Linked DNA regions of Canis lupus familiaris. The protein of the gene in region 1 purifies or fractionates together with the protein of each later gene. This does not show direct contact. Links are inferred from orthologs where the notes say so. Each region holds a gene or a part of one and is shown in the gene's direction. Other genes may lie near its edges.

What was found. The genes of interacting proteins can lie anywhere in the genome.
Region 2: the proteins of MAGED2 (region 1) and NAP1L4 purify together in Homo sapiens (affinity purification with mass spectrometry; 3 studies listed by BioGRID and IntAct, counting the BioPlex papers as one, with this or other methods). This does not show direct contact. The link is inferred for Canis lupus familiaris from reciprocal best matches to the Homo sapiens genes MAGED2 and NAP1L4.

Annotation. Positions count from the first base shown.
Region 1 is NW_023330544.1:39,613-45,286, reverse strand, and holds the start of MAGED2 (melanoma-associated antigen D2), read left to right. Parts: upstream 1-2,370; 5' UTR 2,371-2,500; intron 2,501-2,586; exon of another isoform or gene 2,587-2,681; intron 2,682-3,013; exon of another isoform or gene 3,014-3,106; intron 3,107-3,488; exon of another isoform or gene 3,489-3,979; 5' UTR 3,980-4,008; coding exon 4,009-4,053; intron 4,054-4,441; coding exon 4,442-4,930; intron 4,931-5,533; coding exon 5,534-5,674. UniProt on the Homo sapiens protein: Regulates the expression, localization to the plasma membrane and function of the sodium chloride cotransporters SLC12A1 and SLC12A3, two key components of salt reabsorption in the distal renal tubule.
Region 2 is NC_049239.1:47,402,988-47,408,579, reverse strand, and holds the start of NAP1L4 (nucleosome assembly protein 1-like 4), read left to right. Parts: upstream 1-1,744; 5' UTR 1,745-1,881; intron 1,882-2,711; exon of another isoform or gene 2,712-2,857; intron 2,858-5,592. UniProt on the Homo sapiens protein: Acts as a histone chaperone in nucleosome assembly.

The DNA of each region.
Region 1 (5,674 bases):
GGTTTTATGACACTACTTTCTCCTGCTTTTCTTCCTATTTCTTTGGTCACTACATATCCATCCATGAGACATGGGGTCCTTGTCCTCCACCTATGCCATGGTCACTGTTTGTCTCCAGGGCTCTATCCTAGGCTTCATCTCTTCTAAGGCTGCACATTCTTCTCAGGTGCTATTTTCCTTTCCATAGATTAAAGAACCATTTATATATTGATGACTTCTAGATCTGTTATCTCAGTCCAGACATTTTTCGTGAGCTTCAGATGTGTATATTCAACTACCTATGGAATATTTCTTCTTGGATGTCCCACAGGTATCTCAATATCACTGTCCAGTTCCCCTCTATTAGTGTTCCCTATCTCAGTGAAATAAGTTACCACTGACACATTTGATCTCTCAAATCAGATCCCCAATAGTTCCCTTTGATACTTCCCTCTTCCTTACCTCTTTCCTCGCACCCAATTATTCATAAAGTCTTGCCCCTTTTTACTTCTTTAATATATTCTGAAGTCAATCATTTCTCACTACCTCCATTGCTACCACTCTAGGCCAAACACAATCATTGCTTACTTAGATAACTAAGTTATCTCTTTCCAGGTAGACATCTAATCTATACTTCTTATTGATTAGGCAGCTAGGGTGTTCTATCTAAAACTCAAATCTGTATTGTATCAAAGCCTAAACCCCTTCAAAAACCTCTCAGTGCTCTCAAGATCAAGACCAAAGTCCTTACCTTGGCCTTCAAGGCTAGCTATGATTTGGAAGCAATGGGAATTTGGGTACTAGAACTGGAAGGCAAGGAGGAGCGGTGTCTAGTGTGAAATAAAGCCTTTGTGGATGGGGGAGAGAATCTAGGAGACAAGAAATTAGGAAACTGATAAAAACTTGGAGGAAGCAACAATTGAGAGAAAGAGAGGAATCAGGAGAACAGAGGCCCATCTTGTGTGGGAAGTGTGTGTGTGTGTGTGTGTGTGTGTGTGTGTGTAAAAGAGAGAGAGAGAGAATTATCCATAGAATGTAGGGATTGATATTTTATTATAGTAAAGGAAAAGGTGACCTCATAAAGCACTAGACTTATGACCATTTGAATTACTTTTGAGTGTAAGAAAGGTATTGAATATTATTTCTGTAACTGACCACTACGCTGAATTTTATTATGGTTTCTAATAACTTTTTAGTTGATGCTTTGGGGTTCTCCAGGTCTGCATTCATATACTCAGTAACTAATGATAATTCTGTCTACTTTCCATTATTTATACATCTTATTTTGTTCTCTTGAATAGACCCAATTACTTATGTAAATTTATTATGTGATAAAAGTGTCATGTCAAATCAATGGGAAAAAAGATGGATTAATTTGCAAATGGTGTAAGGATAAGAGACAGTGATTTTGGAAAATAATTAAGCTGAGTCCTTTTACAAAACAGATTTTGGAATAATCAAATACTTAAATGTAAATATCAAAGCCATAAAAGTGCTTGGGAAAAAACAGGGATTGTTATAGGAGTGTGGAAAGCATCTTTAAGCATGAAGCAGAATCCAGTCGTGATAAAGGAACACCTGATACATTTCATCATATAACAATTAAATCCTTTTGTATAGCAAAGGTTATCATGAATAACATGAAAAATATTTGTTATATTTGTAACACAAGCATATGAGAGACATTGTTGGTGGGAACATTATTCCCATGTACCTTTTGAGAGTAAGTTGACAAATTTCTTATCAAATGGAAGACTTTTTGTAGCATTTTAGTCAGCAAAAAGTACTGCAAATAAAAAAAGCTCAATACAGATATACAGATGCAGAATATTCCTTGTAGCATTGCTTGTAATAGGAGAGAGAGAGAGAGAGAGAGAGAGAGAGAGAGAAACAATCTGAATGTCCATAGCCATGTATCCTGGACTGGTTAAATAAATTATGGGCCATCTATACAAGATAATAATATGAAGTTGTTAAGAAAAATGTGCACTATAGAAAGCTGTTTAGAATATATAACTGGAAAAAAAACAGGTCATGGAACAGTAGGTGTAGGATACCATTTGTGGGGAGAAACCCCAAATAATTAGTAATGAATAGGAAAAAAATCTGGAGGACTGTATATAAAAATGTTAATAGTGGTTATTTCTGGGAAATGAGATAAGGGTGGCCTTTCATTGGTATGTTACACATTTCTGCATTATTTGAATTTTCACATGATTATCTTTGTAATAAGAAAAAATAAAGATACGAAAATAAATACATTCAGTGAATGAATCGCTTTGAGGCGGTGGTTTTAGTTCGAAGGTCTGCAGACTGAGCCTGGTACAGTGGCATAAACATGGGCTTTGGCGTCAGACAGCCCAGAGCTGGGCCCCTTGCCCCACCCCCAAGGAAGGAGGGGGGTGGCAGGGGGCTGCGGAAAGGGGCTGGGCTGGGCTGGCTGCAGCTCTAGTCCAGGAGGCTGAGACTTCGAGAGGGACTGAGAGAGGGCAGACTCATCCCGGACTTGCTGGAGGACAAGGTGAGGGGCGTTGAGATTTGGGTTTCCTGGCAGCCAGTGATTTCAGTTCCCTCGAACCTATAGCCAGGCAGGTGGGCAATCCATACTGCACCACTGCAGCTGAGGGAGAGATGACCTGGAGCAGGATGTAGGCAATCAGGACTCCTGAGGGTAGTAGGCGGTAAGGATTGGCGATCTGAGACTAGTGGGGAGGAGGGGAACCGGGTTTGTTGAGTGACCGACTGGGAGGAAGAGGGGAATACTGAGGGAAAGTGGAAATCCAGAGAAGAAAATAGGGAATGCAGAGAAGGGTTAAGGAGTACTAGGGAAGGGGGTGCAAAGGTAACACAGGATAGGATGTAAGGAATAGGAATAAGGAATTCTGTGGGGTAAAATAGGAAATGCGAGGGGTGATAGGGAGCAGGGAGCAAGGCAGAGGGAATACGGGGGTGATAAGGAATGAGGATCAGCGGGGGGCGGGGGGGAAGGGCAGACTGGCTGCGACAGAGGCCCCCCTAGGGAGGCGGAAAGGGGCGGGACCACTTCCGGCCTGGAGCAGGGAGGGCAGTCTAGGAGTTTTAGAGGGGCTTGGAGCGTGGACGCACTCTGGAACTTAAGGAGAAGGAGGTGAGCTGTGGGGCCCAGCCCGGCTCTGGATCACAGCCCAATAAGGATCGGCCCCACCCTCTCATATCTGGAGAAAACCTGCTGTAGGGACCGGATCGTACCGGATCCATCCGGATGGGAAGGGAGGGGACTGGACCCGGTTTGGCTGGGCCTAAAATGGAATCACTGGCTCCATTCTAGATTTGAGGAGGGGGTGTACTAAGGAAGGGGCGGAACCAAGATGCGCTTTGCCCCTGGTTGGAGGGGGCGTGTTGTGAAAAAGGGCGGGACAGGGCCATAGTGTGGACTTGGGGTGGGTGTGAGTAGGGGAGGGGCCGGGACCACCAAACTGCGACAATTTTAGAAGAAAGCTTGTTGGGGAGGGGGCGGGACCAAATGGTACTGCGGACCTGGAGAAGGGCTTGTGTTGAGAAAGGGCGGTGGACGGAGTCCGGACCATTGCGCATGCACACTCTGGATTGCTAGGAAGGGGCGTGTAGAGGAAAGCCAGCCTGGAGACGGGCTGCTGCCGAATGCGCATGTGCATGGTGGACTTCAAAGAAAGAGCTTGTGCTGGGAAAGCGGGCGGGGCTGAGGTGGGCCTCCGCAGCGAACGCGCATGCGCATTGTTGGTCTGCGGCTGGAGGGGGGGTGCACTGGGAAAAGGGGCGGGGTCCTCAGAGCTGCCGCGCTGGCACATCTTCCTGGAGAAGGGGAGGGTGCGGCTGCAGAGAATTGAGATCTAGAAGCTTTGGATTACTGAATCCGAGAACGGAGTCATTGGGGGCGGGGGCGGGGTTTGGGTTTGGGGCCCTAGGGAAAGTGAGGATCAGCTTCCAGGCAGAACAGGAGAGAGGACGTTCAGGCCCTTTGACACAGGCCTTCTCTCCTCAGGCTCAGCTCTTGCCAGGCCAACTTGAGACATGTCTGACACAAGCGAGAAAGGTACGGGTCCAACCCGCTTCCAGGTAAGGCCTCATTTTGTCCTCTCCCTTACTACTTTTCTTCTCCAGCGCGTTGCTGCCTCAGTTCCCTTGGTACCACCCCTCCCATCCTTGTCCTTTACCCACTTTCCTTCCTGGGTGCCCCCCCTCACCAGTAGAGGGAGTGAGGGAGGGAGGAAAGAAGGAAGAATGAAGGATGGAGGAAGGAAGTAGGGAGGGAGGGCAGGCCTGCCTTCTTCTGCCATCACTTCCTGCTCAGAGGAAGGAGAGGCCTTGTTGGGTCTAGGTGGGCAGAGCTCACTGTAAGTAGGAGTTAGTATAGGTCAGAGAAGTGAGGTCCTGGAATTTTGGAGCCATTTTCCTAGTTGGGAATGGGGAGAAGGTCTGTGAGCTTTCCTGCTTCCTCTTGCAGGCTGAAGCTTCAGAGGACAGTGGCTTGAAGATACAGACCCTATTGACAGTGACCCATAATTTGGAGGTCTCAGAGATACCGAAGACCTCAAAGGCACTAGAGACCTCAGAAGCCATGAAGGTCTCAAATGCTGCAGGAGTCTCAAAGGCCACAGAGGTCTCAAAGGCCCCAGAGGCTCAGGAGGTGGCTGCCACTCAGGCCTCCCCTACCACTAAGCTGACTGATACCCAGGTTCTGACAGTTGAAAAGAAGAGTCCAGCAGCTGACACCAAGATGCAGAGTGCTGACCCTCAGCCTGTGACAATGCCTGCCACTGAAACCAAAAAGGTCAGCTGTGTGGCTGATATAAAGGCTGGTACAAAGGCCCTGGAGACTGAGGCTCCTGCCTCTCAGGCTTTGGCAGATGAACCTAAGCCTGATGGTGCGGCTGCCCAGGCTCAGGAGAATCAGGATACTCGGCCCAAGGTCAAGGCCAAGAAAGCCAGAAAGGTAAGACGTCTATAAACACCAGTCTTCCCTTTCCACTTCTCTTCATTAGTCCATTTGTTCTGCAAACATTTAGAAAGTTCCCTGTGCTCATCAAGATTAAGGGGGACAATAAGAGGAATGTGATATCATTTCTCTCTGCAGAGAGTTCACAGAGTCATGGAGAACTGAGATAGTACACATACTTAGCTGCAATGTTAATGTAGTTTGTATTTACATAGGACCTACCATGTGTTAGACCTTGAGCTAGGCACATGCATACAGGTTATTTCATTAAATCCTGAAAGTAATCCAGTTTTATAGAGAAGGAAGCTGAGTCCTAGAAAGGTGGGGTGACTTGTGCAGGGTGGTACAAGAAGGGCCAGTGGTGGACATAGGAAGAGGAGAATTCTCAGGCCCCATCTCAGGTTGTTCCTAGCCTGGTAGAGAGATGAAACTTCTGCATTGAAGTCAGTGAAAAACAGTCCCAAGACTCAACATGGCCAATGTCTAATCAGGCTGTTACTCCAGGGGTGGGATTAGAGGGGCCTTCCAGAAGAGAGAGGATGAGGGAAAAGGAACATCTACTTTGTTTGACAATATTGTGCTTCCTCTCTGTTGCTGCAGGTGAAGCATCTGAATAGCGAAGAGGATGGCAATAGTGATCAGAGTCAGGCTTCTGGAACCACAGCTGGCCGAAGGGTCTCCAAGGCCCTAATGGCCTCAATGGCGCGCAGGGCTTCAAGGGGCCCCATAGCCTTTTGGGCC
Region 2 (5,592 bases), on another chromosome or scaffold:
TTAGGTCACGATGTGTTCGCACAGGAGTGGGCCAGAAGCACCACCCGGCTGATGTCTATAAGGAGAGACACAGACACAAGAGGCCATGCAGGACAGGCAGAGACAGGAGGGACCTGGCCACCAGCCCAGAGACACTCAGAGCCCCCAGGACCTGGAAGTGGCAGGAGGGATCCACACCCTAGAGCCTCTGGAGGGAGCACGGCCCTGCCCGCACCTGGGTTTCAGACTTCTACTGTCCAAAGCTGGGAGAAAGAACTTTCCTGTGATTAAGCCACCAGTTCAGGGTACTTTGTAGTGGCTGCCCCACAAACCACAGGAGACATTCATTCTCGTACCTTAGTTCTCTTCAACAAAAAAATACATTTGCTGTGACTTAACACGTCATCTTAGTAAATACATTTATGGCTATAACGGGACAAAATATAGTCATGGTGCCCACGCCTGGCCTGCTGTCTCCACGCAGTGTCTGGACCACCACTGGGCCCAGGAGCTAGGTCTCTGGCCCCTCAGGGGGTGGCTGCTCCCGGTCACTCTGAACACCACGGCCTGCAGGGCCCAGATGTCCTCTGGAGCAGGATTCAGGCTAAGCCACTCATAGGACAGTCTCCTTAGGAGAGCCTCAGGTAGCCTCAGGTACTCAGTCCCCTCCTCTAGCCCCGGGGTGGGGGCATCAGAGCAGTGGACACCAGCACCAAGCTACTGGCCAGTGTTGTTCCAACTCCCCACCAGCCCTGTGAAGGGGGTATGACAAGTGCCCATGACTGAAGGTGGAGAAACTGCAGCACAGGCTGTCGAGGCCACCCAGCTAGAATTGGGAAGGTCGGGGCTCTGGGCCAGGAACCTGCCCTTTTACTTCTGGGTCCCCTGCCCAGCCTGCTGGCCAGGATGACTGAGTGTGCACAGGGGCGGGTGCCAGCCCCAAGAGACTCAGCCCCAGCCCCCCGTACCTGCGCAGCTGTCGTGGAGTTAACATGAGGCCCCTGCAGCCGCCCTAACCTGGTGGCATGGGCAGGCCGTGTGCAGATGGAGACGGGTCTGGGGGCGAGCGGGAGGGGCTGCAGCTGGACGGGGCGAGGAAGGGCCGTCCCCGGGGGCGGGGGGGGGCAGCCCCGAGACCAGGCGGCAGCGGGCTGGGAGGCCGCCGACCACAAGCCGACCACAAGGCCGTGATTTCTGCTGCGCTCTCCGCGCCTGGCGGGTCCCCCTCGCCGCCGGCCTTCCCAGTGACCGGGGGAACGCGGTGCCCTGGGCCCAGCGGCCGCCCAGCAGCGCGGGGAGGCGGCCCAGCCGGGGGCCCCGGTGTCGAGGGCGCCCGACTGCGCAGAGGTGCGGCCCGGCCCCGGTGCTCCTGTACAGACGCGGACGGCGCTGGGGGGGCGCGCGCGGGGAGAGGGGCGGCGGGCGCTGAGGCCGGGCGGCCCGGGGGGCGGCGGCGTGGACGGTGGGGCCGCGGGGGTCTGCGGGGCGGGCGCGCAGCTGGAGCCGCACGGCGGGCGCGGCAGGTGCCGTCCACGTGTCCCCCGCGCGCCCCGGCCCCTTAAGGAGGCGGAAGGAACGCGGGCGCGCGCCGCCGTACACGTCACACGCCTTATTTACATACAGCTCGCGGGTCTGAGCGCGACGCAGCGCGACGCCCCACCCCTCCTGTCGCGGCCTCTGATGGGCCGTCGCCGGCGGCGCCGAAGCGTAGTTGACTTGCGCCGAGTCCGCCCAATCGCAGGCCGTCTTGCTTGTGCAGGGCGGGGCCAGGGGGCTCGGCCAATGGGAGGCGGTGTTGTTGGCGGCCACGGCGGCGCAGCCCCTGGAGCGAGCGAGGCCACCGCCGCCGCCACTGCCGCAGCCGCAGGAGGCGTGAGGAGCGGACGCGAGGCGCTCGGCTGGGTAATGGCGCGCTGGGGCTGCCGGCGAGGGGCCGCGGCCGCCGAGGGCCGGGGCGGCGGGGGCGGGGGCGGGCCCGGGGCGGCGGGGGGGGCAGGCCGCGGCGGCAGGGGCGGGGCGGCGGGGCGGCGGGCCCGGGGCGGCGGGGGGAGCGGGCGGCGCGGCTGACCCCCGCCCCGCTGCGGCGCTGAAGGTCAGGAGGCGCTTTGTTCCCGGGCGGCCGCCCGCGCCCCCGCCCCCGCCGCGGCCCCGAGGGCAGCGCCGGCCGCGGGGCCCCTTTGTTTTCGGGGCGCGGGGAAGCCGCCCTTCGGGGCCGGGAGGGCTCGGCACGGTCCGTGCGCGGCCTGAGCTCGGGCCCGCGGCGTCCAGGGCGGCGCGCCTTGCCGGGCCGCGGAGCCGCCGTCCGCCCGGGCCGCCTCTGCGGAGCGCGCGGGGCGGGGGACCCCGGGCGCTGACCCGGCGCGGGGACGCGGCTCGCCGTGCGCACGTGCTCGCTGCTCCCGCCCGGCCCGGCCCGGCCCGGCCCGGCGCCTGGGGGCCGCGGGGCGGGGACGCGGTCGTGGGAGCCCGGCTCGGGCCCCGGGGAGGGGTCCCCGCCAGCTCGGACGCGGGGGCCCTTAGCGGCCGCTCGGCGCTCGCACAGCGGAGCGGGCCTTGGTCTGGGCTGGCCGGGCCCCCGGTGTGCGCGAGGGAGGCCGCCGAGGAGAAGGAGCCCTGGCGCCTGGAGGGTTTCCATTTGCTGCTTTTTCCCTTGTTTCTGGATAAGGACATTTTTTTTTTTTTCTTTCATCTTTTGAGGTCAAGGATCCTAGTGCGGGGTTTCAGACGCTCCGTGGAGGAGAAGACCCTTCTGGTCAAGAGAAATACTTTGTTGGCAAAATTGGATTTCTTGTAGGGTTACGGTGACAGAAGGGACTTGTGCGATAAAGTGGGAAGATTACTTGGAGTCGTTTCAGCAGTGATCTTAAGACTCCTTCTGGTATGATGAGAGTAATCGTTCTCAGATTCCTTAGTTGTGTAAACCGGTAGTTAGTTACCACAGCATCCCGCTGTGTGAAATACCTGCTCTGACCCACGCGCTTGTATTGTAGCCTTTGTCCTGCTGTGCCGGTGATCGTGGTCGACGCTACCTGCGGTTGTTTGTACGTCCGTGCGGTGAAACATTAAACGCATTCGTGAATTTCGCATTATTTTTCCAAACAGGTATAGCGATTGGAGAGATTGGATTCTTTGCAAGAGCTGATGGAGTCGTTTTTGTTTTGATGACGCCGGTAGACTGAACTCTGGAAAGTTTACTTTTGCTTTGGGATTGTTGTCCTCCGAGTATACAGGCGTTTTTGAATTTCGAGGATTGGCCGTTTAGAGGACCAGAGTCTCCTGTGGTATTTTTGAGCGTACCTGTGTGAGGTAGCTCATGATTCTGCAGAGGTGAAGTCCATGGAGTCGGGGTGTGTGTGTCATTACAGTGTGTGATTTTGTACTTGAGTCTCTCAGGATGGTGTTTCCGCTCGCCTGTCGGGGTCTCAGCGGCCCCTGGTGCTGGGAGCAGCTTCCTGCATCTGCAGTTCCCACCAGCCTCAGTGGGACGGAAGTCTTCAGCATTTTTCTCCTCTTGAGCAGTTGATAGTCTTTTAGTTTCAGGAAGAGGGGACTACAGAGGTGAACGTATAAATGGTACAATAGAGTTCAGAATACTTACTTTTAGGTTTTTGGTTTTTTTTTTTTTTTTTTTTAATTTTCATTGTCCACAGTTGTAAAACGTTTTGAAACTGTTTTTCATGAACTTAGGTTGTATTGCCAAGAATTTTGCCAGAGAACTTAAATTTGTTTGGTTTGTTTTGCAACAGTAATATATAGTGTCTGTGGGTGGGAGGGTGATCACATTCCTGAAGGCCTCCCCCTGTCAGCTCTGTGAAATGGGCAGAACCCTGTAGTGCTGGGAGTAGTGCTGGGAGTGATGGCCCCTGGGGTGAATGATGAGGCAGCAGTGAGGAGCTTATGGGGAGTTCGGTCTGGAATTGCTACCTAAGACATGCTTACTTGAACTGGGAAATGTGTTCAGGCATCCACAGCGAAAGGTTGGTGATTACATAGCTTCGCCAGTCCTCCACTGAGAGGTTTTACAAGGGGCAAGAGCAGGTTGCTCAGAGGAAGTCACTGTCATCCGGTCTTGGCTTACTTTGCATGATCACTCCTGGTTTAGCAAGTAGTTGCCTTCCCAGACAGCAGGTGGGGATTTGTCGTTACCCCTTCCGAGACCCTTATCAATGGGCAGTGAAGAATTTTAAAGATTTTACTTACTTATTCATGAGAGACACAGGCAGAGGGAGAAGCAGACTCTGTGCAGGGAGCCCAACGCAGGACTCGATCACGGGTCTCCAGGATAACACCCTGGGCTGAAGGCGGCGCTAAACTGCTGAGCCACCCAGGCTGCCCGGAAATTTTTTAAGAAGTAGCTTTGTGGTGACGTAGATTTGTTTTCATTTGACAGCCTTTGGTTTTCTACCCTGCGCGCTTTAGAGAAGGCAGAGCTGCTTTCTTTGCCATTTTAATTTTAAATTTCACGAGTACTTAATAGCAGGAGAGGTGTAGTGTGTTTCTGTAGTGAGAAAACTATAAGAGAGCACTTTGTGGTCTCTACTTCTTATCTTGACCACTCACTGTGTAGCCTTAAATTTCCTTCTACAAGTATACTCTGCCAGCTATTAAAACTAGATGTGCTTCTATTCTGGGTTCATGACTTTTTTTAAGGTAGTGTGCATTTTAATATTATCCAGAAAGCCTGTTTTAAACAAGACGAGATGAGTTCTAGTAAATAGTTTTGTGGTACAAAGAATCAGCGTTACACCTCAGACATTTATGTACCAAGGCTATAAGAATACATTTGTAAATATTACACTTTAAAACATTGTGTGGGGGCACCTGGGTGGCTCAGTGAGTTGGGCATCTGCCTCTGGCTCAGGTCATAATCCCAGGACTCTGGGGTCGAGCCCCATGTCAGGCTTCTTGCTCTTTCTCTCTGCCTGCCGCTCCCCCTGCTTGTGTATGTGTGCGCATGCGCACTCTCTTTCTGCCAAATAAAATTTTTAAAATAAAAATTGCATGTGTAGGAAAATAGCTTTTATTTATTTATTTTTTAAAGATTATATTTATTAATGAGAGACAGAGAGAGAGAGGCAGAGACACAGGCAGAGGGAGAAGCAGGCTCCATGCAGGGAGCCTGATGTGGGACTCGATCCCGGGTCTGCAGGATCACGCCCTGGGCCGAAGGGAGGCGCCAAACTGCTGAGCCACCCCGGGCTGCCCAGGAAATAGCTTTTAATGCTTTGTATTCATTCCTTCGTGAGCCTCTCTATTGGCTAGACAGAGTTCTAAGTACTGGGTATTGCACTGAACAAAACATATTTCTGTAGTGGGAGACAGATAAACAAGTTAGATGATGGGTGCTTTTGAGAAGAAAAGTAGAGAAGGAGTAGGGACTTGGGTGGTGGTGAGTTTTTAAAAGATTTTATTTATTTATTTATTTATTTATTTATTTATTTATTTATTTATTTAGAGCAGAGTCTGGGAGGGGCAGAAGGAGAGGGAGACAATCTTAAGCAGATTCCATGCTGAGCGTGGATCCCGATGTAGGACTCAATCTCACAATCCTGAGATCATAACCTGAGGTGAAATCAAGAGTCGGACACTGACTGAGCCACCCAGGCACCTCCG